7 linked regions of the Xenopus tropicalis genome follow. The protein of the gene in region 1 interacts with the protein of each later gene in a biochemical or structural test. Links are inferred from orthologs where the notes say so. Each region holds a gene or a part of one and is shown in the gene's direction. Other genes may lie near its edges. The genes, in order: mapk1, jun, gab2, mbp, elk1, atf2 and ptprr.

What was found.
Region 2: of the proteins of mapk1 (region 1) and jun, one has a biochemical effect on the other in vitro, tested with the Homo sapiens proteins (2 studies listed by BioGRID, with this or other methods). The link is inferred for Xenopus tropicalis from reciprocal best matches to the Homo sapiens genes MAPK1 and JUN.
Region 3: of the proteins of mapk1 (region 1) and gab2, one has a biochemical effect on the other in vitro, tested with the Homo sapiens proteins (2 studies listed by BioGRID). The link is inferred for Xenopus tropicalis from reciprocal best matches to the Homo sapiens genes MAPK1 and GAB2.
Region 4: of the proteins of mapk1 (region 1) and mbp, one has a biochemical effect on the other in vitro, tested with the Homo sapiens proteins (16 studies listed by BioGRID and IntAct). The link is inferred for Xenopus tropicalis from reciprocal best matches to the Homo sapiens genes MAPK1 and MBP.
Region 5: of the proteins of mapk1 (region 1) and elk1, one has a biochemical effect on the other in vitro, tested with the Homo sapiens proteins (16 studies listed by BioGRID and IntAct, with this or other methods). The link is inferred for Xenopus tropicalis from reciprocal best matches to the Homo sapiens genes MAPK1 and ELK1.
Region 6: of the proteins of mapk1 (region 1) and atf2, one has a biochemical effect on the other in vitro, tested with the Homo sapiens proteins (3 studies listed by BioGRID). The link is inferred for Xenopus tropicalis from reciprocal best matches to the Homo sapiens genes MAPK1 and ATF2.
Region 7: the proteins of mapk1 (region 1) and ptprr form a complex in vitro, tested with the Homo sapiens proteins (2 studies listed by BioGRID, with this or other methods). The link is inferred for Xenopus tropicalis from reciprocal best matches to the Homo sapiens genes MAPK1 and PTPRR.

Annotation. Positions count from the first base shown.
Region 1 is NC_030677.2:154,033,074-154,036,573, forward strand, and holds part of mapk1 (mitogen-activated protein kinase 1), read left to right. Parts: intron 1-134; coding exon 135-317; intron 318-456; coding exon 457-646; intron 647-1,176; coding exon 1,177-1,293; intron 1,294-2,259; coding exon 2,260-2,374; intron 2,375-3,500. UniProt on the Homo sapiens protein: Serine/threonine kinase which acts as an essential component of the MAP kinase signal transduction pathway. MAPK1/ERK2 and MAPK3/ERK1 are the 2 MAPKs which play an important role in the MAPK/ERK cascade.
Region 2 is NC_030680.2:86,738,690-86,742,508, forward strand, and holds jun (transcription factor AP-1), read left to right. Parts: upstream 1-1,152; 5' UTR 1,153-1,657; coding exon 1,658-2,596; 3' UTR 2,597-3,319; downstream 3,320-3,819. UniProt on the Homo sapiens protein: Transcription factor that recognizes and binds to the AP-1 consensus motif 5'-TGA[GC]TCA-3'.
Region 3 is NC_030678.2:168,999,494-169,002,993, reverse strand, and holds part of gab2 (GRB2-associated-binding protein 2), read left to right. Parts: coding exon 1-166; intron 167-1,981; coding exon 1,982-2,556; intron 2,557-3,500. UniProt on the Homo sapiens protein: Adapter protein which acts downstream of several membrane receptors including cytokine, antigen, hormone, cell matrix and growth factor receptors to regulate multiple signaling pathways.
Region 4 is NC_030682.2:98,910,145-98,913,644, forward strand, and holds part of mbp (myelin basic protein), read left to right. Parts: intron 1-2,520; coding exon 2,521-2,969; 3' UTR 2,970-3,500. UniProt on the Homo sapiens protein: The classic group of MBP isoforms (isoform 4-isoform 14) are with PLP the most abundant protein components of the myelin membrane in the CNS. They have a role in both its formation and stabilization.
Region 5 is NC_030684.2:1,348,786-1,352,285, forward strand, and holds part of elk1 (ETS domain-containing protein Elk-1), read left to right. Parts: intron 1-128; coding exon 129-566; intron 567-1,131; coding exon 1,132-1,515; intron 1,516-2,463; coding exon 2,464-2,565; intron 2,566-2,656; coding exon 2,657-2,755; 3' UTR 2,756-3,500. UniProt on the Homo sapiens protein: Transcription factor that binds to purine-rich DNA sequences. Forms a ternary complex with SRF and the ETS and SRF motifs of the serum response element (SRE) on the promoter region of immediate early genes such as FOS and IER2.
Region 6 is NC_030685.2:64,401,198-64,404,697, reverse strand, and holds part of atf2 (cyclic AMP-dependent transcription factor ATF-2), read left to right. Parts: intron 1-2,496; coding exon 2,497-2,672; intron 2,673-3,500. UniProt on the Homo sapiens protein: Transcriptional activator which regulates the transcription of various genes, including those involved in anti-apoptosis, cell growth, and DNA damage response.
Region 7 is NC_030679.2:59,563,325-59,566,824, reverse strand, and holds part of ptprr (receptor-type tyrosine-protein phosphatase R precursor), read left to right. Parts: intron 1-2,954; coding exon 2,955-3,214; intron 3,215-3,500. UniProt on the Homo sapiens protein: Sequesters mitogen-activated protein kinases (MAPKs) such as MAPK1, MAPK3 and MAPK14 in the cytoplasm in an inactive form.

The DNA of each region.
Region 1 (3,500 bases):
CAAAATTCATTGGAAATAAAAAAAAAAAAATAACTATTACAGAGTTTGTGGGATATCTAATGCTGTATAGCTTGACTTATAATGTATGGTAGAAACAGTGGCCAATAATTAATTGTGCTTGCTTTGTATTTCAGTTCTGCCTATGACAATGTAAACAAAGTACGAGTTGCTATCAAGAAAATCAGCCCATTTGAGCATCAGACATACTGCCAGAGAACACTGAGGGAGATCAAAATCTTGCTGCGTTTTAAGCATGAAAACATCATTGGAATTAATGACATAATTCGAGCTCCAACCATTGAGCAAATGAAAGATGTGTATCCTTGCTGTTAAAATTGTTTATCTGTTTTTCTTTTCAAAAGTAGATTTCAGAGAAAAATGTGATTTGTTTCTTTCAGTTTTTCTTTCTTTAATTTTTCACACTCCATCATTGTTGCCTTACATTAAACATTCCAGGTATATTGTGCAGGATCTCATGGAGACAGATCTCTATAAACTCCTGAAGACTCAGCATCTTAGCAATGACCACATCTGCTATTTCTTGTACCAGATCCTGAGAGGATTAAAGTACATCCATTCAGCCAATGTTCTACATCGTGATCTTAAGCCTTCAAATTTGCTGCTTAACACTACCTGTGATCTTAAGGTCAGTGCAGATTGGTAATTATAATAGTTAATGTCCTTTAAAGAGAACTTAGAGCTGTAATGCAAAAAAAACAAACAAAAAAAAAAAAAAAACACAGTCCTTACCCTTAAACCTCAATACCCTTTTGAGTGCAACTACAAGCTTACTCGTATGAGTGATTCCATCCTATTCCTTAAACCCTGCAGGCATCAGGACTCTTCTAAACATGGGCTAAAGTTTTTGCTAGTTGTTGGGTAGTTGTGCAACTAAGGCAATAGTACTTCCCCCCCCCCCGAGGCTTTGGCTTGTACTAGTGTGTTCAGTGTCCATTGCTAGGCACTAAGCCCTGTTTCTGAACTGGTACTGGAGCCAATGTAAACCAGTTTTGCATTACATGGGACTGGCAGGTGGTCCCTTACAGAATCACAAAAAAAAAAGCGCAAATATAGGCTTTTTAACTATTCTATAGTATACGAAATGTTTCTACAAACTCATAGGTACACTCATGTGTACGCTATTAATGTGATAAGTTGGAACTTTGTATCTTCCAGATTTGTGATTTTGGATTGGCTCGTGTTGCAGACCCAGACCATGATCACACTGGATTTCTCACAGAATATGTAGCCACTCGCTGGTACAGAGCTCCTGAGATCATGCTGAATTCCAAGGTAAAAAAATGACTGCATGTATAGATAGACTGATAGGTGCATGTAATTTTCTTGTAATTCAAAATGTAAATATGCTTTGGCCTCACAGTTAATTTAAGACTTAAATTTCTATAATTCTATATTAAACATTAGAGATTTTTATAGATTATGGAGCACATAAAGGGGTTGTTTTGCTTCTAAAATTAACATAAGGTGTGTGACAGACGGGGAGATTAGTCTGCGCGCGACAAATCTCCCCGAAATGCCATCCCTCCAGCGAGAATGTAAATCGCCAGTGGGATGTCATCTGCAAAATTCCCATTTAGGTAACAGTCATCACAACATGGTCACCTTTGAGATTGTTTCAGAAACACCTGTATATAAGTGATACAAGTTAGATTCAAATGTTGGCATGTCATCTCTGCAACTTATTACTAAGATACTTTTCATAAGAAATGTCTGACAGCACTGGACTTGAATATATTGCACATCACATTCTATTCATTTGTGGCAGCCCAGATTGATGAACAATAAAGCCTGCCAAATGTAAAACCTTGATCTACCAGTAAACTCAAAATCCTGTGAGTGCTGGTATCTTTTTGCACAAAATAACAAATTATTGGGGGGGGGGGGGGGTGTAAACAATGCAGAAAAATGCCCCTCTAATCAAATTCTATCACTACTGTGGTTGCACTGTCTGACTCCCGACAAAGGTCCCTGTGGGGGGATCAAAATGTTGAGCAAATAAATCCGTGGAAGACTGATTCAGCAAATTATGTGAGTGCCATTCTTCTGTATTGTTTGTTGTTTCTCAGTTCAGGCACGAAGAAAGGAATTGTTTATGGTATGTACCGTACATGTTATATCTCAGTGTGTATGAAAAAAAAATGACATAACCTTTATGAAAAAGAATAATCTGCTATAGACTGTTATAGACCACTGTTAGCACGGTGGTTTAGTGACTAAAAAAACGTTGCTTGTTTTCAGGGCTATACCAAATCGATTGACATCTGGTCTGTTGGCTGCATTCTTGCTGAGATGCTTTCTAATAGACCCATATTTCCTGGAAAACATTATCTTGACCAACTCAATCACATACTTGGTAAGGTCTAAAGTCATCTATTGTTAAGTATATAAATTTGTATTTATTATTTCTGTATCTTAGTGTCTTAAAGGGGACCTGTCACCCTAAGAAATAATTCCAATTTCTTTTCTTTTGTGTTTGTTAAGCAAACTTAACTTTACATACTATATAAATGATAAAAAATCTTGTTTCCTTCAGTCTTGGAAATATACAATCACAGCCAGCAGGCAGCTGCCATTTTATGGGCACTGTTAAGGCAAGCTTTGTATCATCCCAAGATCTTGTATATGTGCCAGAATGGGGGACCTGATGCCCAGGCCCATGCACTGGCTACACAATTAGATGGTGAGAAGGTATGGGAATGTGAATGCTGAATGGAAAGTTTAAGTAACTGTCTGCCCCACCTCTATGTCTGAGGCATAGAGGCAGGACAAGAAGTATATGATTGACAGCTGGGATTTTTAAATGCATTTATAATGGGTTTGAATGTGTTAATATAAAAATGAATTTTGGTTTCATGTTTAATTTGAAAAGGACTTTTATTATACAGCTTTTTATGTCTGGGTGACAGGTCCACTTTAAGTGTATTTGTGTGGATGGGAAAGAAGAGCCTATCAAATTTCTCTGAACTGTAGGTACAAGCTTTAAAAGTTTAGAAACCAGGGTGTTGGCTTCCTATAATATTAACAGAAAGGCAAACAATTAACTACTGCACTCAGTATTTAGAGATACAGTAATTATGTTTCATTATTATTTAATGCTTTGTAAAACATGCTCATTATGAACAACAATTTTGACAAATATCTATTGATCTGTTAACCTTGTTCTCCTATGCCTGTCTCAGGCGCACATCGTGCTTCTCCTAAGCTTCTGCTGAGCAAGCCATCTGCCTGGCTTGCACACTTCTTGCTCGAATGTAGGACTTAAGATGGGCTACATGGGCAGGTTTAAGCTTCCGATTCGGGCCCTTCAGGTTGATTTTGGCAAATTATCTGCCAGTGTATGAGGCCCTTCGACATGGCCCTACCCTGCCAATATCTTGCTGAAAATTGGGGAGGTTTGAATCGAGGACTTCATTGACTTGTTGATTCGACCACTCCAATGCTTGTATTCCTGTCATTATGGTCTGATCATTTGGCCCTAG
Region 2 (3,819 bases), on another chromosome or scaffold:
CCCATAAAAGCCAGTCTCCGTTCTCATGGATGCAACCTGATCTCCTGTAAACTTTTTAAGCCTCCCCAGCGCTCCCCCTACCTCCTTCACCCTGCTTCCAATCATCCTTTTTTTACTTTCATCAACGCCCACATCATAATCTACACACCCACCCACCAATAAACTCCCTCCCCCACCAAATTAAAAAAAAAAAAAAAAAAAAAAAAAAAAAAAAAAAAACTTTCCCTCACCTTTTCTCCCTGGCTATCCACCCCAGTGCAGAAAGGCATGATCATTAGAATGTAGCACATGCCTACACAACACTGGGACCCTTTTAATAACAATGATGCTATACAGCCTTACATGTTCTCTGTCACTGACACTGGTGTATCTATGCAATGTTGCGATCCTCAAGCTCTTGTTGAACTCCTAGTCACATACAGCCCCACCCCCACACACGGACCCGCAATGGCCGGAGGGCTGCAACTTGGTCTCCCCCGTGTCCTACACAAAGTAAAACAGCGAAGAGAACAATAACTATAAAGCCAGTAAAACTATACCACACTAATAACATTCTACCGAAAATAACCAGTTGTTTCAAAACTACAACTCCCAGCAACCACTACCACATTTTAGTTCGGCAACTAACAAACAACATATTGAAAAACCTGCCATACTGATCGCTTAAACCTGTGGAAATAATCTGTTTCAACTCTGAGTTTTCAGTTTCACCAGCCGACAAACACAGCCCAAGTCCTCCGGTTCCTTATGTGACAGACAACCATTACAACCATATCGCGCTTTGCTAGGAAAGGGATGAGTCTCCTCCGCGGCTTACGACTACCATACAATTGCCTCAAGCCCCTGTCCAGTACCAGGGGGTGAGCGGAACAGCCCTTATGGCGGGAAACCCACGTCAAACTACCATCCCAACTACCAAAGCAAGGAACGGGCACCGCCAACAACAATACGTCAGCCCACAATGCCCAGCGGCAAAGGAGCATTACCTCATCCCATGAGCCTTCGCGAGAGTTAGAATCTTCTAGGGCGGTCGTCATAGCGACCGAGGCTCATTTGGCCTCGCTGGCCCGCCTCCCTTCCCAAGGCTCAACCAATAGCAGGACGTTGGGGTGACATCATGTCTATTTTTAGTGGGTGACCGCTCGCAGATAAGTGTTAGCTGCACGCTGTCCCACAGCCCAGTACAAGTGAGTAGAGCTCACACTGACAGCACTTGTGGCGCTTGGGGAGAAGGAACGTCTAACTTCTCAGTGACTTCTTCCTTGTGTCCGTGTGCCTGACACCTATACTGGGCACACGCACACACCCAGCGCTCGCCATTACATATCTCCGGCGGCGCTTTGGAAACTTTCCCGGGAGTTTATAAGAACTTTTGTGGCGTTCGGAGTACGAGGACCTCTTTGCTGCTAGAGACACAAAGTAAGTCGCATTTATTTCTGTTATGTGCCAGGCTGGGAGCAGTTGTGCTTGAACTCTCACTACGGGACACTGCCAGTTGTAGTTCGGCAGGCGAAGCATAAGTTCCATTTAGAAGAGGGGTGGAGGTGCCATGGGGTTCGGTGTGTCAGCTAACAACCTGTTCGCTCTTCTCTCTAGGCTGGTGCTGGTGTCACACTAACGTAAGGTCCAGTCATCGTCCCTGTCCGGCATCCGTTCTATGACTGCAAGGATGGAACCTACTTTCTACGAAGATGCCCTGAGTGCTGCTTTCGCCCAGCACGATGCTACTCCCTATGGTTACAACAAGGTGCTGAAGCAAAGCATGACCCTGAACCTGTCGGACCCCAGCAGCGCCATCAAACCTCACCTGAGAAACAAGGCAGCTGAACTGCTCACCTCCCCTGATGTTGGGCTTCTCAAGCTCGCCTCCCCGGAGTTGGAGAGGCTTATCATCCAGTCCAGCAATGGCATGATTACCACCACCCCGACCCCCACCCAGTTCCTGTGCCCCAAGAATGTCACAGACGAGCAAGAAGGCTTTGCAGAGGGGTTTGTTAGGGCACTGGCAGAACTCCACCATCAAAACAACTTGCCAAGTGTAACCACTGCCACCCAACCTGCCAGCACGGGACTGACACCTGTATCTACTATTGCTGGAAACACTGGCTTCAACAATAGTCTTCACAACGAGCCCCCTGTGTATGCCAATCTAAGTAACTTTAACCCAAGTACCATCACCACATCATCGCCTTTTAACAGCAACACCATGGGGTATACCGGCCAACATCAGAGTAACCCACCAATACCCGTGCAGCACCCCAGGTTACAGGCTCTGAAAGAGGAACCACAGACTGTACCTGAAATGCCTGGGGAGACTCCTCCACTGTCCCCTATTGACATGGAGTCCCAGGAAAGGATAAAGGCTGAAAGGAAGCGTATGAGGAATAGAATCGCAGCATCTAAATGCAGAAAAAGGAAACTGGAGAGGATTTCCAGGTTGGAAGACAAAGTTAAAAACTTAAAATCCCAGAACTCTGAACTGGCATCCACTGCCAACATGCTTAGAGAGCAAGTAGCCCAGCTCAAACAAAAAGTCATGAATCATGTCAACAGTGGGTGTCAGCTAATGTTAACACAGCAGATGCAAACATTCTGAAAAGGCTTCTTTGGGAAAGAGATGTGAGAATTATTTTGTGGAGGGAAATAGTTTCATGTTGAAACTCCCTGGCTCAAAATGAAAGGCACTGAGACCTGACTGTTCTACGTGCGTGTGCGGGGAGTCCTGACAAGCCTTTAGGTGGAGCCTGTGGCAATGCAACAAGCAGTATCACTTGTCAAGTGCTGTTCCTGCTCTAATGAAACATCAGATACATGTTTAACATTGACCAAGACCTGCATGGACCTAACATTCGATGATCATTCAGTATTAAGAAAAGGTTAAACTGCTAGAGACACTAGATTGCTTCCGTAGTTTTCTTACAAAGGGAGGGTGTGGGAGGGAGGCATACGGGACATTGAAAAGTAAAATTAATGACAAATCTGCCTGCCTTCTACATAACTGTGTATGTGTACATATTTGTTTTTTTTATTATAATATTAAGAAAAACTGAATTATTTCAGTAAAATTGCTTCAAGCATTTGTAAGTTATTTTTATGTTTGGGTTAATAAACCCACTACTTTCTGTAAATAAGAGATATTGAGCACTCTTGAGTTTACCATTTGTAATAAAGTATAATAATTTTCTATGTTTTTGTTTCTAAGGACAATTCCAGACGTTCAATTATATTTAAGATATTAAATAAAAGATGTGGAAATTAGATTTTTTTATTTATATTGATATTTTTTTTTACACTGCAATAAACGTGCATGTTAAACTATCTCCTGTGTATAGTACTTGATATATTGCATGAGTCTATTCAAGGGTATTATATTTTGACAATTATTTGATATGGGTATTGGGCAATATAAAAGTAAAAGCAGAAAAGAACATACTGACCAATATTTTCTTTATATCATAGCACTTGGGGTTATTTATATATGCTATTATAAAGTTCTGGGCTTTTGGCAAGAGTTTGCTGCTGTTATTATATGTTTGAGGGGTTAGGAATGGTTTACAGTATTCTCCAGCCTTATTGGCTAAATAATCATTTCCAAATTGTGCACCACAAATACCAACTGGTTGCCAGCCCTCTTCAATTTTACAAATTGATAAATAGTTGCTTTTCCTAAGTTTATTGAAAAAAGAAAAGTGTAACAAATTGATATAGTAGTAGTAACTAAAGTAGCTACTGATGAGAATATACCAACTAATTTATTAAACTGTAGCATTTTAGAGTCCTTGTTTCTTAAGGTGCTACTGGGAAACACAAGAGGTGTGA
Region 3 (3,500 bases), on another chromosome or scaffold:
TTCTCAGGGAGAGAAAGACTTCGGCACCTTCCCATTCCAGTCAGCCCACTTTGTTTACATTCGAGTCTCCTTCTAACCACGCTCACCAGACGGCGCTATCCACCAGCGCGCCTCAGGATTACCTGTTCCTGCACCAATGTATGAGCCAAAAGTCCGAGACCATGAGGTAAGAACCGTCGCCGTTCTGGGAGCCCATTGTCTGGACATGGGTGGTTTGTTGACCATTTAATGAACAAGTCAAAAGGGTTGAGGAGACACAAACCAAAGGGATTCTGGGAACAAATTCCTTAAGGCTTCTAAAAAAATCCCATTTACATGGGTTCATCCTATAGGCTAAAGCTCACCCACTGGGTTTTTGAAGCCAGCCAACTGATCAGATTCCCAACTACAGACTGGTTTTGGGGGCTCATCAGTGTAGTGCAGGGTTTTCTGAACCGCTTAGGGAGAGCCAGGGGTGAGGATTCACAAACAAGTCAAAAAGGTTGAGGAGACCGCCTCATACATATACAAATAGACCCCAGGGATTCTGGGCCTAAGCTGATCAGAAATCCCTGCACTACACTGATGAACCCCAAGAAGAGCGAAACCCGTCTGTAGTTGGGAATCTGATCAGCTATTATCCTGGCTTTTGCTTTAAAACCCAGTGGGTGAGCTTTAGCCTATAGGATAAACCCATGTAAATGGGATTTTTTTATTTGTTCCCAGAATCCCTTTGGTCTATAGACCATTTAACCAATGTCTGAAGCAGTAATCCTGAACAAAAGCTCAGAAGAGCAAATTTGTGGAGGGGATTTGTGCCTAAAAAACCAGAGACTCCGACGACTGATAAACACAGAGACTGTATACGGTGCTTTATGGGGCATTAGCAGTTGGGGCAATACTGAATGTATGCAAGTGAATGGGGGAGGTTTCGAGTGCCCGTGTGTTATTGCCCTTGAACAAGACACAAATGGCTGAGCAGATACTGATCGGAGACATCTGGAGACGAGAGAGGAAGTGAGATAACCATAAAGAACTTAGAAGGAGAGCAGTAAAACACTAAATAAATTAGAGTGCAGATAACGATCAGAGACGATTGACAGATAAGTGAGATGAGCAATCATAAAGAGCCAGGGCAAAGATGGCTGCACAGGGAGCAATGAAGGTGAAACTGGCCATAAACCATAATGGAAAACCTCTAGGTCAATACTGAGAACCTACGGTAAACAAAATATCTCTTCTGTGATTAGGAAGTTGCTGTTCATACAAATACACATTATTCTACATAGGAACATAGTAGTTGGGGTTGCAAAAAAGATAACGGTGCATCAGTTTCAACCCTTTACATAATCCAGAGGAAGGCAACCCCCCCATCCATAGCCATCTACAGTTTGGCCTAAAGGTCCCCTTTACACGGGCTGATCCGCTCGAGCAGATCTTCTCCCGAATATCCCCACCTATGGGTGGGCGATATCGGGAGAATCCAGGATAATTCGATTGCTTGGCCCCGATCCCAAACGATCGAATTATAATGACGGGTATAGGAAAAGTCGGTCCGGGGACCACATCAACAAGCCGATGCGGTCCCCGATCCAACTAGATTTTCTAACCTGCCCGATCAAGATCTGGACGATTTCAGGCCAGATATCGGTTGGGCAGGCCCATCAGGAGTGCCCATACACAGGCCGATTAGCTGCCGAATTGGTCTAAGGGACCCATATCATCAGCTACAATCGGCCCCTGTATTTCACTTGGGCATCTAACCCTTTCTTAAAGCTCTCTAATGTATCTGCCATTCTAACCATTTCAGGGAGGGAACTTTACATCTCTCACTGTAAAGAAAACCCTTATCTCAAGGAATCTCCTTCTGTTTATTGGAAGGACCTACAGCTAAATAAGTTAGTTTACATTATGGTGCCCTTATACATAGTTATCATATCCCCCCTTCTAGTGCAAGAGCTGCCATCTTGGCCAACCTTAACATTATTTTTTTTTCCCCCAGAAGTGCCAGTTTTTCCCAAGCCACAAGGTCCTCCTTTTTTATGAGAAGCGACTCGGCCGTCCAGAAGTTGGTCCAGGGTTACGGTCACTGTTTGAACGGGATCAGCGGACAAGTGCACGGCTTTTATAGTTTACCCAAGCCGAGCAGACTTAGTTCTGAGCTTAGGGACAGTGCTTACGACCTGCCGAGAAGCTTTGGCTCTGACACACCAACCAAGTCAAGCCTTACAGGACTGGAGTCGGAAAGCGAGGATGTTTACTGCTACAAAACTCCCAGCAATGCTCTGTGTAAAGAGCTTAGGGAACTGTCAACGGATTCCTATGATATCCCTGGGACGCCGCTCTCTGTGTATCAGATCCCAAGAACTTTCACTTTAGACAAGAACCACAATGCTCTGGGTCTTGCCTCCAATGACTTCCATTCCACACCCCCTCCCCGTCCCCCTAAACCAGGACAAGCAGAGACGATTTGGGGTAGCCCACAGCCACAACATCATCATAATGGCGATAACGTGGCAATGGTCAATCTTCCAAGGAGGAACACGTTACCAGCCGTGGAGAATAAGCGCCATCGAGGTACTACTGGCTTTGAAATCTTCAATATTCCGCCATATTTATCCACTCAACACTGTTCATTGTTCCATATTTAGTCAGTAGACTATGTTTCACCTTTTTTTGTTTTTTTCCCAGTAATAACTAGATTCATAACTATTGTTCCATCAATGCCTACATTCCATTTGGTGGCTCTTTGGAAAAATGATATGCTTCATGCCAAAGTGGCAAATGTACATCATAAGTCAATTTATTTGAATGGTATAGCTCAGGGGTAGGGAACCTATGGCTCAGGAGCCAGATGTGGCTCTTTTGATGGCTGCATTTGGCTCGCTGCCAAATCTTTAATAAAAAAAATAACGGGGGGATGAGGCCAGCGCTCGGCGGATAGAAGACGTGTTCTAAGCCTTAGAACACATCTTCTATCCGCCGAGCGCAGGCCGCACCCTCCACTGCATCGCATCAGCGTCCGGCATCCTTGGGACCCACCCTACCTTGCCCCGCAGCCAAACATTGTATGGCTCTCACAGAATTACATTTTAAAATACGTGGTGTTCTCTCAGCCAAAAAGGTTCCCGACCCCTGGTATAGATAACTGGTGATACATAATATTTTTTCTCTGTCGACCAGTGGTTTTAGGACTTAATTGTTTTGAAGGCCCTTTGAGGTCCAGCTATTGGTGATGGTCCCTTTAGCTCAGTGATCCCTTAACTAGTGGCTCAGGGACATCATGTTCCCCACCACCCCCTTTTGATGTTGCCCATTTTTACATTTCTGGCTTGGAGACAAGTTTTGGAAGCCCATAGACACAGTTTTACCTGCAGGCCACATGAGGCTACCAAATAGCCAATCACAGCCCTTATTTGGCACCCCCAAAGAACTTTTTTCATGCTTGTGTGTCTCCCCAACACTTTTTACATCTACGTGTGGCTCACGAGTAAAAAATGTTGGAGATGGTTTGAAGGATA
Region 4 (3,500 bases), on another chromosome or scaffold:
AAACAGCACTTTTTCTTTGAGTTTCCATATCATCAGTTTTTCAGAATCATCGTAGGAATAAGAATAGTTATATAATCAGTTTTTCTTCCTAGTTTACCAGTAAAAATGGAACCATGATCATAAGCTCTTTATAACTGAAAAATATAAAGTATTAATTTACTACAATACCTATTTTATTTGGATCATTTGAATTCATGTTGACCATAGGTGTATATTGCTGATTAAATTAGGTGGTGGTGTATTATTTTTAAGGTATAGTGTTTGGCATATCCAGAACAGAGACAAATGAGCAGGGCGTCATGAATCCCCACATATTCAACTTTTATTTTACGCCTGACTACATGGGGTTGCAATTTTTTCTTTGTTTCAGGTAACCACACATTGGTCAGGGTCTGGAATATGTATACCAGAACCAAAGTCTACTTGGGTGAGCCATTAATTATATAAAGCACTTCATTCTCTGTATTGCTTTATTACAGAGTTTGCTCGTGTCTAATAACACAATGAAAGCAAAATCAAAGCAACCTTATGGGTTTCAACGGTTGAAAGATGGTGTAAAAAATGGTGTCTATTTCTGGATAAAATCAAAATAAAATATACACCTTTGTTGATTAAAGATATTGACAGTGTCAAATCAAAAGCTTTAAAAATATTACTTTTATTTTACACCACTTTTTTGACATAATAATAATATTATTAACATGTATTTATAAAGCTCCAACATATTCTGCAGCGCTGTACAATAATATCACTTTTAGTTTCCAATGTTTTTCATAATGGACAGAATATCATATATATCCAGGATGGTCCCTACGTGGGAATAGTCTGAAGTACGTGAAAAAAAATGAAATGCATGACAGGCCGAACGCATGTAGAATGCACAGTCAAAGTGCACTCGGGGCTCCTAAATGATCATATAAACTTTATCATCATCGTTTTAGTCATCAGTGGGAAGGAAGGTCATGGTGATATTTATTGAACAAAGGGGTAATAGCAGATGGAATTGCCTTGTGTATGTCTCTAAGAAAGATAGGAAAAGAGGTGGGGACAGCATGCTATCTAGCTCTCTAGTGGTTAGAGGTGGCACAACAAATGACAACTGCATATACTGCCAATCTGAGCTGCCACCCTGCACTTCCATAGTCAGCACAGCAAGTGGATATTTTTAGCCACCCCTGGCAATCACAGGAAGATTCTGCTTGCTGTGCCTTACAGAATTTTAGGATGTGGCTGTATATAAAGTGCATGGCAGAGAGACACTTGAACCAAATTCCATGTTTTCCAATTAATATGTTTCTTTGGTTGATACGACCTTCTTCTTTTGAGGCCAGCTACAATCTTGTGACTTTTTTCTGCATTTCTGATTTAATTGTCACTGTATGCTTAGAGAGCAGGATTATGCAGAGCTGAGCACAATTAGCCTGTGCCAGTTATTTCAAAGAAAAGGAAGCTACAAATGACAGCCAGTCCTACAGCAATCATATGCACCCATGCTTCCAGACGTTTATACGTCATTAGACATAGTTATAAATTTTAGCACCCCAGGTGATTCCAGCTCAGATGCACCACAACTTGCTTTGCCTTTATGATAGAGCATATGCATTGCATCACTGCTCCCACCCTGTATATTGCTTACTGTAGGGGTCCCCAAACCTTCTTACTCGTGAGCCACAGTCAAATGTAAAACGACTTGGACAGTAACACAAGCACCATAAAGATTCATGGAGGTGCCAAGTAAGGGCTAAGATTGGCTATTAGGCAGCCTCTATGCACACTATCAGCTTACAGGAGGCTTTATTTGGTAGTAAATCTTGTTTTTATTTAACCAAAACTTGCCTCCAAGTCAGGAATTCAAAGATAACTACCTGGTTTGGGGGCACTGATAGCAACATTCAAGGGGTTAGTGAGTAACATGTTGCCCCTGAGCCAATGGTTGGGGATCACTGCTCTAGGGGTTAAGTTTCAGAGTCCATTTAGCTGTACCAAAAAATCCAGCACTCTGGATAACAGGTTGCATACCTATATAAACTAAGAAAAAAGTTTTCACTTATTCGTAAGTCCCATGAATGCTCCATTTTTTTTCATGTGGATATTTATTTCTCTTGGATGCACCAGGGCAATTTTCCCCTATATTGGGAGTGTGTTACTAGCATTTGTTTGTTAAATATATAAATATGTCTCAGGGTGTTATTTTGAAAGCTTTGGTAAGTCCCTAAGTGTAAAGCAAGATAAGGTAAAAAATAAACATGTCTATTGAACCATGATGTGCATATTCGCTAACACAAGTAACCATTTAAACCTGGAGATATATATAGTAATTCTATAGAACTGCCAAGTAAGAAATTACCTTTATATGCGACTCACCCCGATATCTGTGTTTAATATTATTTTATATTTCAAATACATGAAGCAAATTCTGTCTGATTAACATAAAATGTCTAACTCAGGGCAGAGAGAATGAAGGCAGCATTGTTTGCTTTTTACAGCCTTGCATTCACATCTCACACTTATTATTTGCAGCAGATGTGAACCAGAACAATGGAACCTCCTCTAAGGGCACGGCGGTGACTGACTCCACAAGCACAGAAGACCCCAAGAATGACTGGAAGGATGCCAACCCATCTGACTCTGCCTCTCGCCCACATCTGATCCGCCTCTTTTCCCGAGATGCACCAGGAAGAGAGGACAACACCTTCAAAGATCGGCCCTCTGAGTCAGATGAGCTTCAAACCATCCCAGAGGACAGTGCACCAACTTCACAAGACTCGGATTTGATGGCATCACAGAAACTGTCTCGGCACGGATCAAAGCAAATGGCAACAGCAAGCACCTCAGATCACTCTAGGCATGGGTATGGAGCCCATGGAAGGCACAGGGACTCGGGTCTTCTTGACTCACTGGGCAGGTTCTTTGGAGGGGAGAGAGCTGTTCCTAGGAAGGGATCAGGAAAGGTGAGCTCTGAGGAATAGAAAGGAAACTAACATGGGATTAAAGTGGAAAACAATGTATTAGGTTTGTCAAAGAAACTGTCATAGCTGCAATTGTTAGTAACTATGTAGAGCATAAGTACTGTTCATGTAAGTGGGTTATTGCTTGCTGATGCAATTTAGCTTCTAAGGCCCAGATTTTTGTTTCAGGTACAGATAAATACATATATATATATATATATGTATATGTATATTGCTGGCTTGTTTTCCTTTTTCAGAAGAGTATTGGTAAAGTTTAGCTTGGTTCCAGATGTGGCTTTAGGAACAGTCTTGTCCAACTGCATTAACTTTAAACCTCATAGACGCGATTGTGACTTCTCTGGCAATTGGCTTTGTGCGTTCATGTATTATAGATTTTATATGCTGTTTGAACCTTTCTGTCCAGAGCTGTGGAGTGCCTTATACCCTGCAACACACGCTTCAAAGCTTCAGTTATTGTTTTCCGTTTTTTAAATTATTACTGCAAAATAAACCCCAAAAAAGTAATATAACTGATAACTGACAGATAAAGAT
Region 5 (3,500 bases), on another chromosome or scaffold:
CACGAGAGTATTTGATACCACGAGAGTATTTGTACCACGAGAGTATTTGTACCATGAGAGTATTTGGTACCATAGGTTATACATATAATAAGTGCCTTTGATGATCGTTGGATCTTGTCTCATTTCAGAACATTATTAAGAAGGTGAGTGGGCAGAAGTTTGTGTACAAGTTTGTTTGTTACCCGGATCCCGGCAACAGTGAGGTCTCTAAGGACGATGGCAAGTGCAGAGAGAGTGTGAGCGAGCCCAGCCAGCCCCCCAAATCCGCCGACAGCTCCCCCTTTGTCCCCAAGATGGTTCGGAGCAGCTCTAAGACGAGTCGCAATGAGTACATGCGCTCCGGCCTCTACTCCACTTTCACCATCCAGTCCCTGCAAGCCCCCCCTGCAGGCCAGCCCAAGACTAGCAAGCTGGAAGCCCCTCCTCCACTGACTGAAGCCCCGCCCTCACTCCAGGTGAAAGGGCAGAGCATCGAGGTACCACCCCCGTACGAAGTGGCTGAGCAGAACAGTGAGGCCCTGTCTGTAGAAGTGAATATTCACAGCTCCGAGGAGCTCCAGTTACAGGTAATGATCCTTCCACTGAATGTGCCGCCATTACTGGCTCCCTATAAAACAATGGTTCCCCCATAATGAATGTGCCGCCATTACTGGCTCGGTATAATACAATGGTTCCCCCGTAATGAATGTGCCGCCATTACTGGCTCTGTATAATACAATGGTTCCCCCATAATGAATGTGCCGCCATTACTGGCTCCGTATAATACAATGGTACAAAGGTTCCCCCATAATGAATGTGCCGCCATTACTGGCTCGGTATAATACAATGGTTCCCCCGTAATGAATGTGCCGCCATTACTGGCTCTGTATAATACAATGGTTCCCCCATAATGAATGTGCCGCCATTACTGGCTCCGTATAATACAATGGTACAATGGTTCCCCCATAATGAATGTGCCGCCATTACTGGCTCTGTATAATACAATGGTTCCCCCATAATGAATGTGCCGCCATTACTGGCTCTGTATAATACAATGGTTCCCCCATAATGAATGTGCCGTCACTATTCCCCCACATCTTGCCCAGCAGTTTGTGTACAGAAACCTCCCATTGGTGTTTGTGTCGTACCCAGGTGACCGTGGACCCCCCCACACCTGATATTAAGGTGGAGGCAGCGGCAGAAGACCCCATTGGTGGAAGCGAGGGCCTCTCCGATGCGCCATTGTTCCCTACGGTTCTGCCTGAGCTGAAGGTGCCGGAGCCCCCCATGACCCAGGAGATCCTGGTTGTGATTGACTCCCCGGAGAAGGAGGATACGAAGAACGAGCAGAGAGACAGGGATGGGGGACCCCCCACCCCAACTTCCTCCGCCGAGGGGCAGTCAGTGAAAGGGAAGAAGCCAAAGGACTTGGAGCTGCCATACTCTGCTGTGATTGGCCAGGAGAAGATGAACTCTGCTATGAACTCACTTCTGCCCCCGGGGAGCGCGTCTTCTGTCATCACCTCCCACTCACTGGTGAGTGCAGTTCCGCCCCAGAGGGGCAACTGGGGTATTGGGCCTGGGTGCGGTTCTGTGGGTCGTAGAGATGCCAGAATGTACTGTGGGGGGGTCGGCCCCTCTGAGCTTACTGAGGAACCTATGTCAGGGGCTAAAAGCCTTAATATATAGGGGGAGGGGCAAGGAGTCTGGGACTCAAACTGGGGGTGGGACTAGGGCACTTACAGTGGGAGGGGCAAGGGGTCTGGGACTCAAACTGGGGGTGGGACTAGAGAACTGACAAGCGCTTACAGGGGGAGGGGCAGTGGGTGGGACTAGAGAACTGACAAGTACTTATAGGGGAGGGGCAGTGGGTGGGACTATGATACTGTGAATTACAGGAGAAGTCTGTCAAGCAGTGGGCGGGAATAGAGAACTGACGAGTACTTACAGGGGGAGGGGCAGTGGGTGGGACTAGAGAACTGACAAGTACTTATAGGGGAGGGGCAGTGGGTGGGACTATGATACTGTGAATTACAGGAGAAGTCTGTCAAGCAGGGGGCGGGAATAGAGAACTGACGAGTACTTACAGGGGGAGGGGCAGAGGGTGGGACTACAATACTGTGACTTGCAGGGGGAGTCTGTTAAGCAGTGGGCGGGACTAGAGTGCTAATGGACACTTACAGGGGGAGGGGCAGTGGGTGGGACTAGGATACTGTGACTTACAGGGGGAGTCTGTCTGCCAAGCAGTGGGTGGGACTAGAGAACCGACAAGCACTTACAGGGGGAGGGGCAGTGGGTGGGACTATAATAAGGCGACTTACAGGGGGAGGGGCAGTGGGTGGGACTATAATACGGTGACTTACAGGGGGAGGGGCAGTGGGTGGTACTATAATAATGTGGGCGGGACTAGAGATGGCAGTGCTATAATATTAGTACAATCCTGTGGCTGAATCAGCATTAATGCTTCTCTGTCTCCGCCCCCAGACTCCCCTCCTGCTCACCCCAAGTTCCCTCCCACCCTCTATTCACTTCTGGAGCACCCTGAGCCCTATCGCCCCCCGGAGCCCAGCCAAGCTCTCCTTCCAGGTAAGTGGCCGCTGTTCTGTCAGGGTGTAATGGCCAGTAGGGGCCACTAGGTGGGGAAAGGCCTCTCATTGGTTATTCCCTCTCCTTCCAGTTCCCAACCAATGGCAACAACCAAATCCACGTCCCCACCCTGAGCGTCGACGGACTCTCCACCCCTGTCGTTCTCTCTCCCGGACCCCAAAAGCCATAAGGGACCCGCGCAGCCGACATTCCCGCGCTTTTTCATTTGCCCGAGGGCGCCTTTTCTGCCCCAAGCGCTCTCCGAGGGAGTTTGCCGGGATACAGAACCTTCATGAAACCTTTATTTGCTGAAGGAAAGGTGGCACCAATATCTCCGGTGGCCCCGGGACTTCTGTACGTTCGGCCGGTAGAGAGGCCACGCCTCCAGCGGGAGGAACGGGATCGAGTTTTCCGTAGTCGCAGTGTTGGAGGCCAATGGATAGAGCAAGGAATGATGGGAGACGGGGTCGTTTATTGATTGGATAGACCCTCCTCTCATTGGTTTATTATCCTGGAGGTCTGTCGTTTTATCAGGGAATCGGCCAATGGCTGACGGGACATACTTGAATATGGGGGGCGTTACCCAGACTGGAGCTCAGGCTTGGGTGGGCGGGGGCAGAAAATATTTTTCTACTTTGCTGGAGATAAAGGGAAAGGGGTTTGGCTACTTGGTCGTGTACGAGGGGGGGGGCGTCGGAAGGGCGTCGCCAATTTCCTCCAACCAAAAAGCTGCAACGCGTGGGCCGGCCAATTAAAGATGGACGCCTACGCGATACATTTGCTCTCGGACAAACACAAGGAGACGCCAACGTGGCCTGGAGTTCTGTGGGACAATATGGCCGCCCCGTGGGTCACGTGACTGCCGGGGACGACACTTCTTAGCTGCTCTGTGATTCTAACAAAAAAGAAGGTCTATTTTTTGGGATATTTCGCTA
Region 6 (3,500 bases), on another chromosome or scaffold:
GTACCACAATTTTAGTTTTGTTATAAAGGGGATGTAAATGCAAAAAATATTTTGTCTAATGAAATGTGAATGTAATTTTTGCAACTTTTCCCATGTTCATTCATTGCATATTTCTGGTTTTAGAGTGAAGACACACATGGTGATTAGTTGGCGCGGCTTTTTTAAAAAAAAAAAAAAAAAAGGCAATAGTTGCAACTAATCGCAGCGACGGTCCCACCATAGGTTATTATGGAAGTCACTGTGACTAATGGCCTGTGGTTTTGCACTGCGCGGATTAGTCACCACAACTTTTTACAAAGTTGCGTCTACTAATCGCTGCATGTGTCTTTAACTTCAGAGTTATTTTGTAAATAACTGCTTCTGTAAGCAGTGTCTGTCTGACCCTTTCTCTTCTGTGCCGTATCGGTGGTTAAGACCTTTGAAACAGTGTAGCAAAAGCCAGTCTAGCTCTGTGAAGGAGCATTCATTGCTGACTTGTGCCATGTTGTTTCCAGAGACACAACCATTGATGAATGTGGAGTAGAAAACTGTTTACAATGTTGTTTCATTAGATAAGATTTTATCTTTTATCTTATTTTGGTGTTTTCATCCCTTTAAGGGCCCTGGTACACGGGGAGATTAGTCGCCCGTGACAAATCTCCCTTGTTGCTAGTGTCTAATCTCCTCGATATGACATCCCACTGGCGAAAACGTAAATGGCATACGCGGCGGCGCCTCGAAAGGCAACGTATCCCCGCCACTTATGCCATCCCACCGGCGATTTACATTTCGCCGGTGCGATGTCATATCGGGAAGATTAGTCGCCCGCAACAAGGGAGATTTGTCGCGGGCGACTAATCTCCCTGTGTACCAGAGCCCTAAGGGTAAAAAAAATGGAGCTACTTGTAGCAGCTACTTGTCACAACTACAGAAATAGACAGTGCTGATCATTTACTGATAATTGTCTCTACATGTGTTTTAGCAGAGGCAATTTTCAGTACTGTCTATGGCAGGGTATTTTCTGGCACATAGTAACCGTGACAAGTAGCTGCTACTAAGTAGCTCTGTGTGTCTTTGCCCTTAATGTTTCTGTTGTTCCATTCCTTGATAAAACTAAAGTGTACAAAGTGGGTTTGGATGTTTCCAACTGGATGTTTTCTAAATCACATTTGAAATGTAGTAGCAACATATATGTACTGACATTCTGTATTCAGCCTTTACCCTTCTCCATGTTTTATTGCTACTTAATAGTAAAATTGTCATTTCAATCTGAGCCTAATGTTAATGATTTAACTAAATGGAACTGTAAGCTGCATTTATATACTTCTCTTAAAAGATTTAAATGCCTCGAGTTGAACTTAGGCCCTTGGCACACAGGGCATTTTGTTGACCACTGCCCCAGAGAACCATGGCAGACAAAACTCACCTTTCCACTTGCTCAGAATGCTACTGAATGACAAGTGTCCTATTGAACAGACACAGTCCAGTGACGGCAGACCATGGGCAATGTCCACCATTTACAGCACACATGCTGCTTTTTATTCTCAAATATTTGGGTCAATGACAAGTAGAGAGAGTGGTGTTTTGTCTGCCACTGTTCTGTCCCAGCAGAAGGAAAAAAGCCTAGGAACAGTAACACCAAAAAATTAAAGTGTATAAAAGTAATTACAATATAATGTACTGTTGCCCTGCATTGCTACAGCTGGTGTGTTTTCCTCAGAAAGACTACTATAGTTTATATAAGTAAGTTGCTGTGTAGCCATGGGGGCAGCCATTCAAAGGATAAAAGGCACAGGTTACTTAGCAGATAACAGATAAACCCCCATTATATGGGGCTTAGCTACTAGTTATCTGCTATGTAACCTGTGCCTTTTCTCCTTTTTTCCAGCTTGAATGGCTGCCCCCATGGCTACACATCAGCTTATTTATATAGTAGCTTTTCTGTAGCAAAAACACCAGTTTTTTGCAGAGCAACAGCACATTATGTTTTAATTACTTTAAAACACGTTCATTTTTTGATGTTACTGTTCCTTTAGCAAACCTGTTTTCAAAAACTTCTCAAAAATAAGGTCACAAGTGGGAATTTGGTTCTCCTGAATTCCCATCTTCAAATCAAATACTGGTATAGGATCTATTATCCAGAATGCTTGGAACCTCAGGTTCTCCTAACAAGGGATCTTTCCGTAATTTAGAACACTGTTTCATAAATCAATTACTACTTGTCACACAAAAATTAAATTAACCCAGTAGGATTTATTTGCTGCCAATATAGATTCATGAGGTTTCGTAAATGTCAGGTACAAGGTACTGATTTATTATGGAGACAAAACAAAACCATTTTTAAAAATTAGATTTATTGGCTTTAACCGGATTCTATGGGAGATGGCCTCCCCAATAATATAACAGTTTTGCGGATAACAATTGACATACCTGTACTTCCTTCTATTTTGCAAGAATCATGTAATAAGTGAATGTATTATGAGGAATATATATTAACAGACTTATTTCATGTTATAGGAAGTGCCATTGCCAGCCGCACAACCCACATCTACCATTGTACGCCCTGCGTCTCTTCAGGTTCCTAATGTGCTGCTTACAAATACAGATTCAAGTGTCATTATTCAACCGGCAATACCTTCACCAACATCCAGCACTGTAATCACGCAAGCCCCTCCAGCTAGCAGACCAATAGTGTAAGTATCCCATTCTGTTGCTTTGTAATTTCAATACAAACTATCCAAAACACCTTTAACTCTCTGGTACCCAGCAGATTTTACGATAATGGTTTGTAACCAAAGTCAGGCCGTGTCCTTTAGTGTGCAGCATTTGATTTAGGTCAGTGGTTGCCAGCTAAGAATGCATGGGGCCCTTTCAAAATTGCAGAGCCTTGGGAATCACTAGTTACTAATTGTTTTTTGTTTTGTTTTGTTTTTTTTTATAGCCAATGGCCCTACAGGCAGATTTGAATAAAATAACTTAACTGAAGGATAAAACTAAATAGGCATACTTGCAAGATGTCAGTAGCAGGCTAGAGAAATTATGCCTTTTGCTTAGAGGAGGATAACCTATGATAGCAATCTGAACTACAAGCTGGGAAACCTCTATAAATGAAAGGAAAGAATGGTATGAGCTAACTAACAAATCATATAACATTGCTTTTATAACATCCTTTGTTAAATTAGACACTTTCCTTAGTGCTTCCCCTGCAAAACAAGTTCTCAAACAGGCTGTGTGATTTTGCCAAAAGAGACTTTATTAGATAGCTAATTTGGTTGGTAAAGTTGAGCTTTTCCAGAATTATTGTGACATGCATATACACACATAAGCAACATTTATACTACTTATCATACATTTTCAAGGCACCTAGGGCAACAAAATTATATGGGCAGGGGTGATTGGGGTATATCAGCTGGACCAACCCCCCAAGAGGGAGAGCCCCAGGATACAGATCACTGGTGCATATGTGTGTCAGATATACATCACCCCCAGGCAACATGCATGTGATAACTGCTGGGCATGTG
Region 7 (3,500 bases), on another chromosome or scaffold:
AATCGTGGAAGATGCCTTGAGAGGAAACTTCCACGATTTCACTGAAATCACGCCGCCACGTATGCCATCCCACCGGCGATTTACATTTTCGCCGGTGGGATGGCATTTCGGGGAGATTAGTCGCCCGCGAACAGGGAGATTTGTACTACAGCCCTTAAGGACCACATGCTGCTTTTTTACAGTATCCTAAAATCTGAATGAAGCTAATTATACATTTTGTCACAAGAACAAAGAAGAATGAAGAAAAGTGATTTATTTTACCCCTATATATTTCCCCTGTTGGAATAGCTGTACCCCAAATTTTAGCCCTACAAGTCTGACATGTCTGAAGATCTGAGAAATAATGATTAAGACAATCTGGTCATGCAACCAGTCCTGTTTGGGGGGCTTTGCCATTACAAATCATTCATTTTCTGCTCTCTTGGTTGTACCTGTAAGCAAACTCATATAATGTGTAAGTAAATACAGAATAGAGATTCATGGAAAGCTCTTCTTCAAGGTTTCCCTTCGATGCTGTCAGATTTTCTAGTGGGTTCTACTCACACTTCTTTTTCCCTGTCTTCCAAATATGACTAGATGTGTGTAACATAACCTAGCCTGAAGCAGCTGGATATGACACTGTAAATGATACCTAATGTAAAGAATTTAGAGAATGATTTGCATTTATGCTTTGGTGGTAGGTTAAGTAGAACAGGTTTTGCATATGCATATTGCTTGAGTCATTCTATTCCCCTGAAACGAAGTGAATAGACTTACGAACTGCCTAATACATGTGAGCAGAAGGAAATGCCTATATTTATCATCCTTTCCTTCTTAGCAACCAAATCAGATGGCAGATGGACTCCCAAAAAATAAAAATAAAATCTAATCAGGATAGTGGAGGTATTGGAATTAGGGAACATGGGGATTCCAGATGCTTTATGAAGATTAGATGGCCTTTTCTAAAATATACTACTATTTCTGTGTTATGAGAGAAATATTAATCCCTCTTGTGTTGGTGACGCCTTTAACTCAAGAATAACCCTAAAGGAGACAGCTAATTGCTAGGACAGGAGTGCAACAGAAGTATAAAACAATCCCCAAACAGGCAGTGGAGACCACAGTAAGGGGAATATTTACTATGGTGTTTAAAATATCTTTTGCCAAAAAGTAGTGGTGTGAAATACATGGTGCTTTTGTGAAGCTGGGCTGTTTGTATTTGTAATGTTTGTATTTTTTTATGTCGGACTAATGCCAAAAATTATGCCACAACTAATTATTTTTACAAGTAAATAAAGCTTGCTATGTAACCAGGATAAACTTCCCTTATTACAATTGCATTTAGTAGTTTCCAATAGTTTTGAATTTTCCTCTGTGCTTTCTATTTGTAAGTATGATTTTAAAGGAGAAGGAAAGGTAAAAACTACATAAGTTTTATCAGAAATGTCTATGTAAATACAGCCATAAGCACTCACAGAAATGATGCACTGAGTCCTCTAAAGATTTGTTGTCTCTGTTTTCCTGTGCCAGAGACACACAGCTCTCTCCTTTCTCCCCTCTTCTGCTCCTCCCTCCCTCAAGAATGCTAAGAACTTACTCCCCCCCCCTTAGGAATGTATATCTGAGCCAATCAGCAGGAAGCTTCCTCATAGTTTTACTAACGGAGCATGTACACCGGCCTTGGTCTTGGTTCAGGAGCAAGGCATTATGGGAACTTTCTTTACAGAGCTCAGCGTTCTTGTTTTCCTATGAGGCTTCTGATCATCTAAACGGGAGAAATATGGGGAGACTTAAGGGCACTATTGAGAGAACTGAAGGTATGCCTGCAGCTTGAGATTAACTCTTTATTAGCCTTTCCTTTTCCTTTAAAGGATTTGAATAAAAGTTAGTTTTTTCATAGTTAGATAGTTCAGATAGTTTATCTGAAGGTGTGCCATTGAGGATGTGTCTTTTGTAAAATATTGTCTTAATTAACTTACACACTGTGTACCCGACAGTACACTATAGTGCAAGGTTTTTTTTTCAGACATATTGTTTTAAATAATGCACCATGGTCTTGATGTTTGCCATATTCTAATGCCCCTTTTTATACCCTTACCTCAATATGTAATTAAAGGCACTAAGTTTTCCCTGGTGCAGTAACCCATAGCAACCAATAATATGTTCTCTTTTAAACAGATGACCAGTAAATGCTACCCACTGATTGGTTGCTATAGGTTATTGCACCAGGGAAAACTTAGTGCCTTTTATTACATCACCCCCTTAAACTCTTATTGCTTTTGCACAAATGGTACAGACATTGCAGTTTTTGATAATTCAGGAACATTTTAGGTTGACTTTGAATTTCGACCAGCACAAATAGCAGCACTCAAAATGCCCCTCTTCACCTGCCATGGGAAAAATTGTGTTTAGTGCACATGAAGGGGGCAACAGAGGGCCTGCACTCAAAAATGCATGCTTAAGCATTTCTAAGCATAGGTCCATCTATCAGTGCTATTTGTTTCCCGTTTAATAAGGGAAGTGCTGATAGGTGGAGTAGGATATTTTGACCACTGTTGTTTGCCGCCTGATGATGGCAGTAGTCAAAACACCCAGTCTGACATCAGCATTAGTGTTCTGCAGAAACTATTCAAAAGGGAACCAGCACTAGTGTTGTTTCTGCTGAATGAAAAAGGATTTGAGTGTGTTCATTGACATGTATGTGTGGAACTTCACAAGCTGTTCAATTATACCTAATATACTGGTCACAGTCCAACTCTTATGTAAAACCTTTAGAGAGCCGACTCTAGTATGTGATAGATTAGTCAGAATAACAAAAACAAACATTAAACCTTCCAAGAAGTTAAATAAACTCCCACAGGACAAATTATGAGCTTTTTTGAGAACTCCGCTTTGATTCTTTTTGTGTTTGTTTTGCTATGTTTATAGAGTAGGAGGAGAATATTGTAAATACTCTTTACTTTCTATCTCCGTAGGTTCTCTACAGATTAAAAGAAAAGATTCAGTTTTCATTGAGGCAGGACAAAAAAAATCAGGAGATCCACCTGTCGCCTCTCCCAGCTCAGCCTTCACCATCTCAGGCTAAACGGCCAAGCAGTATGGTGCAGCATGAACATATCCCTAAAGCTGTGAATGTTATTGTAGACCCCCAGTGCCAAGGCACCTTTGAGATCAGACCTCCTCTGTCTGCGGGACCTTCTCCATTTAAAATGAAACCCGTAGGCCTCCAAGAAAGGTAAGCATATATTTTATATGAAATTAGTCCTCCGAACGGCTGTCTCATCTATGAGCTATGGAAACACCCAACTGCACATTTTATAAAGTTCCTCTTTTTGGTTACAATGACCATCTGGCTTGTGACAAAGCATGCCTGCAGTTAATGTTTATTTTTTTAAAGGAACAGTAACAAGAAAAATGATTAATATCACCCGGCATACTATTCATTTTCATTGAACAAAATGTCCTGATTTTTAATGCAATGTATTTATAACTTATTTTATGTATTGTGTCTTTTGTATATT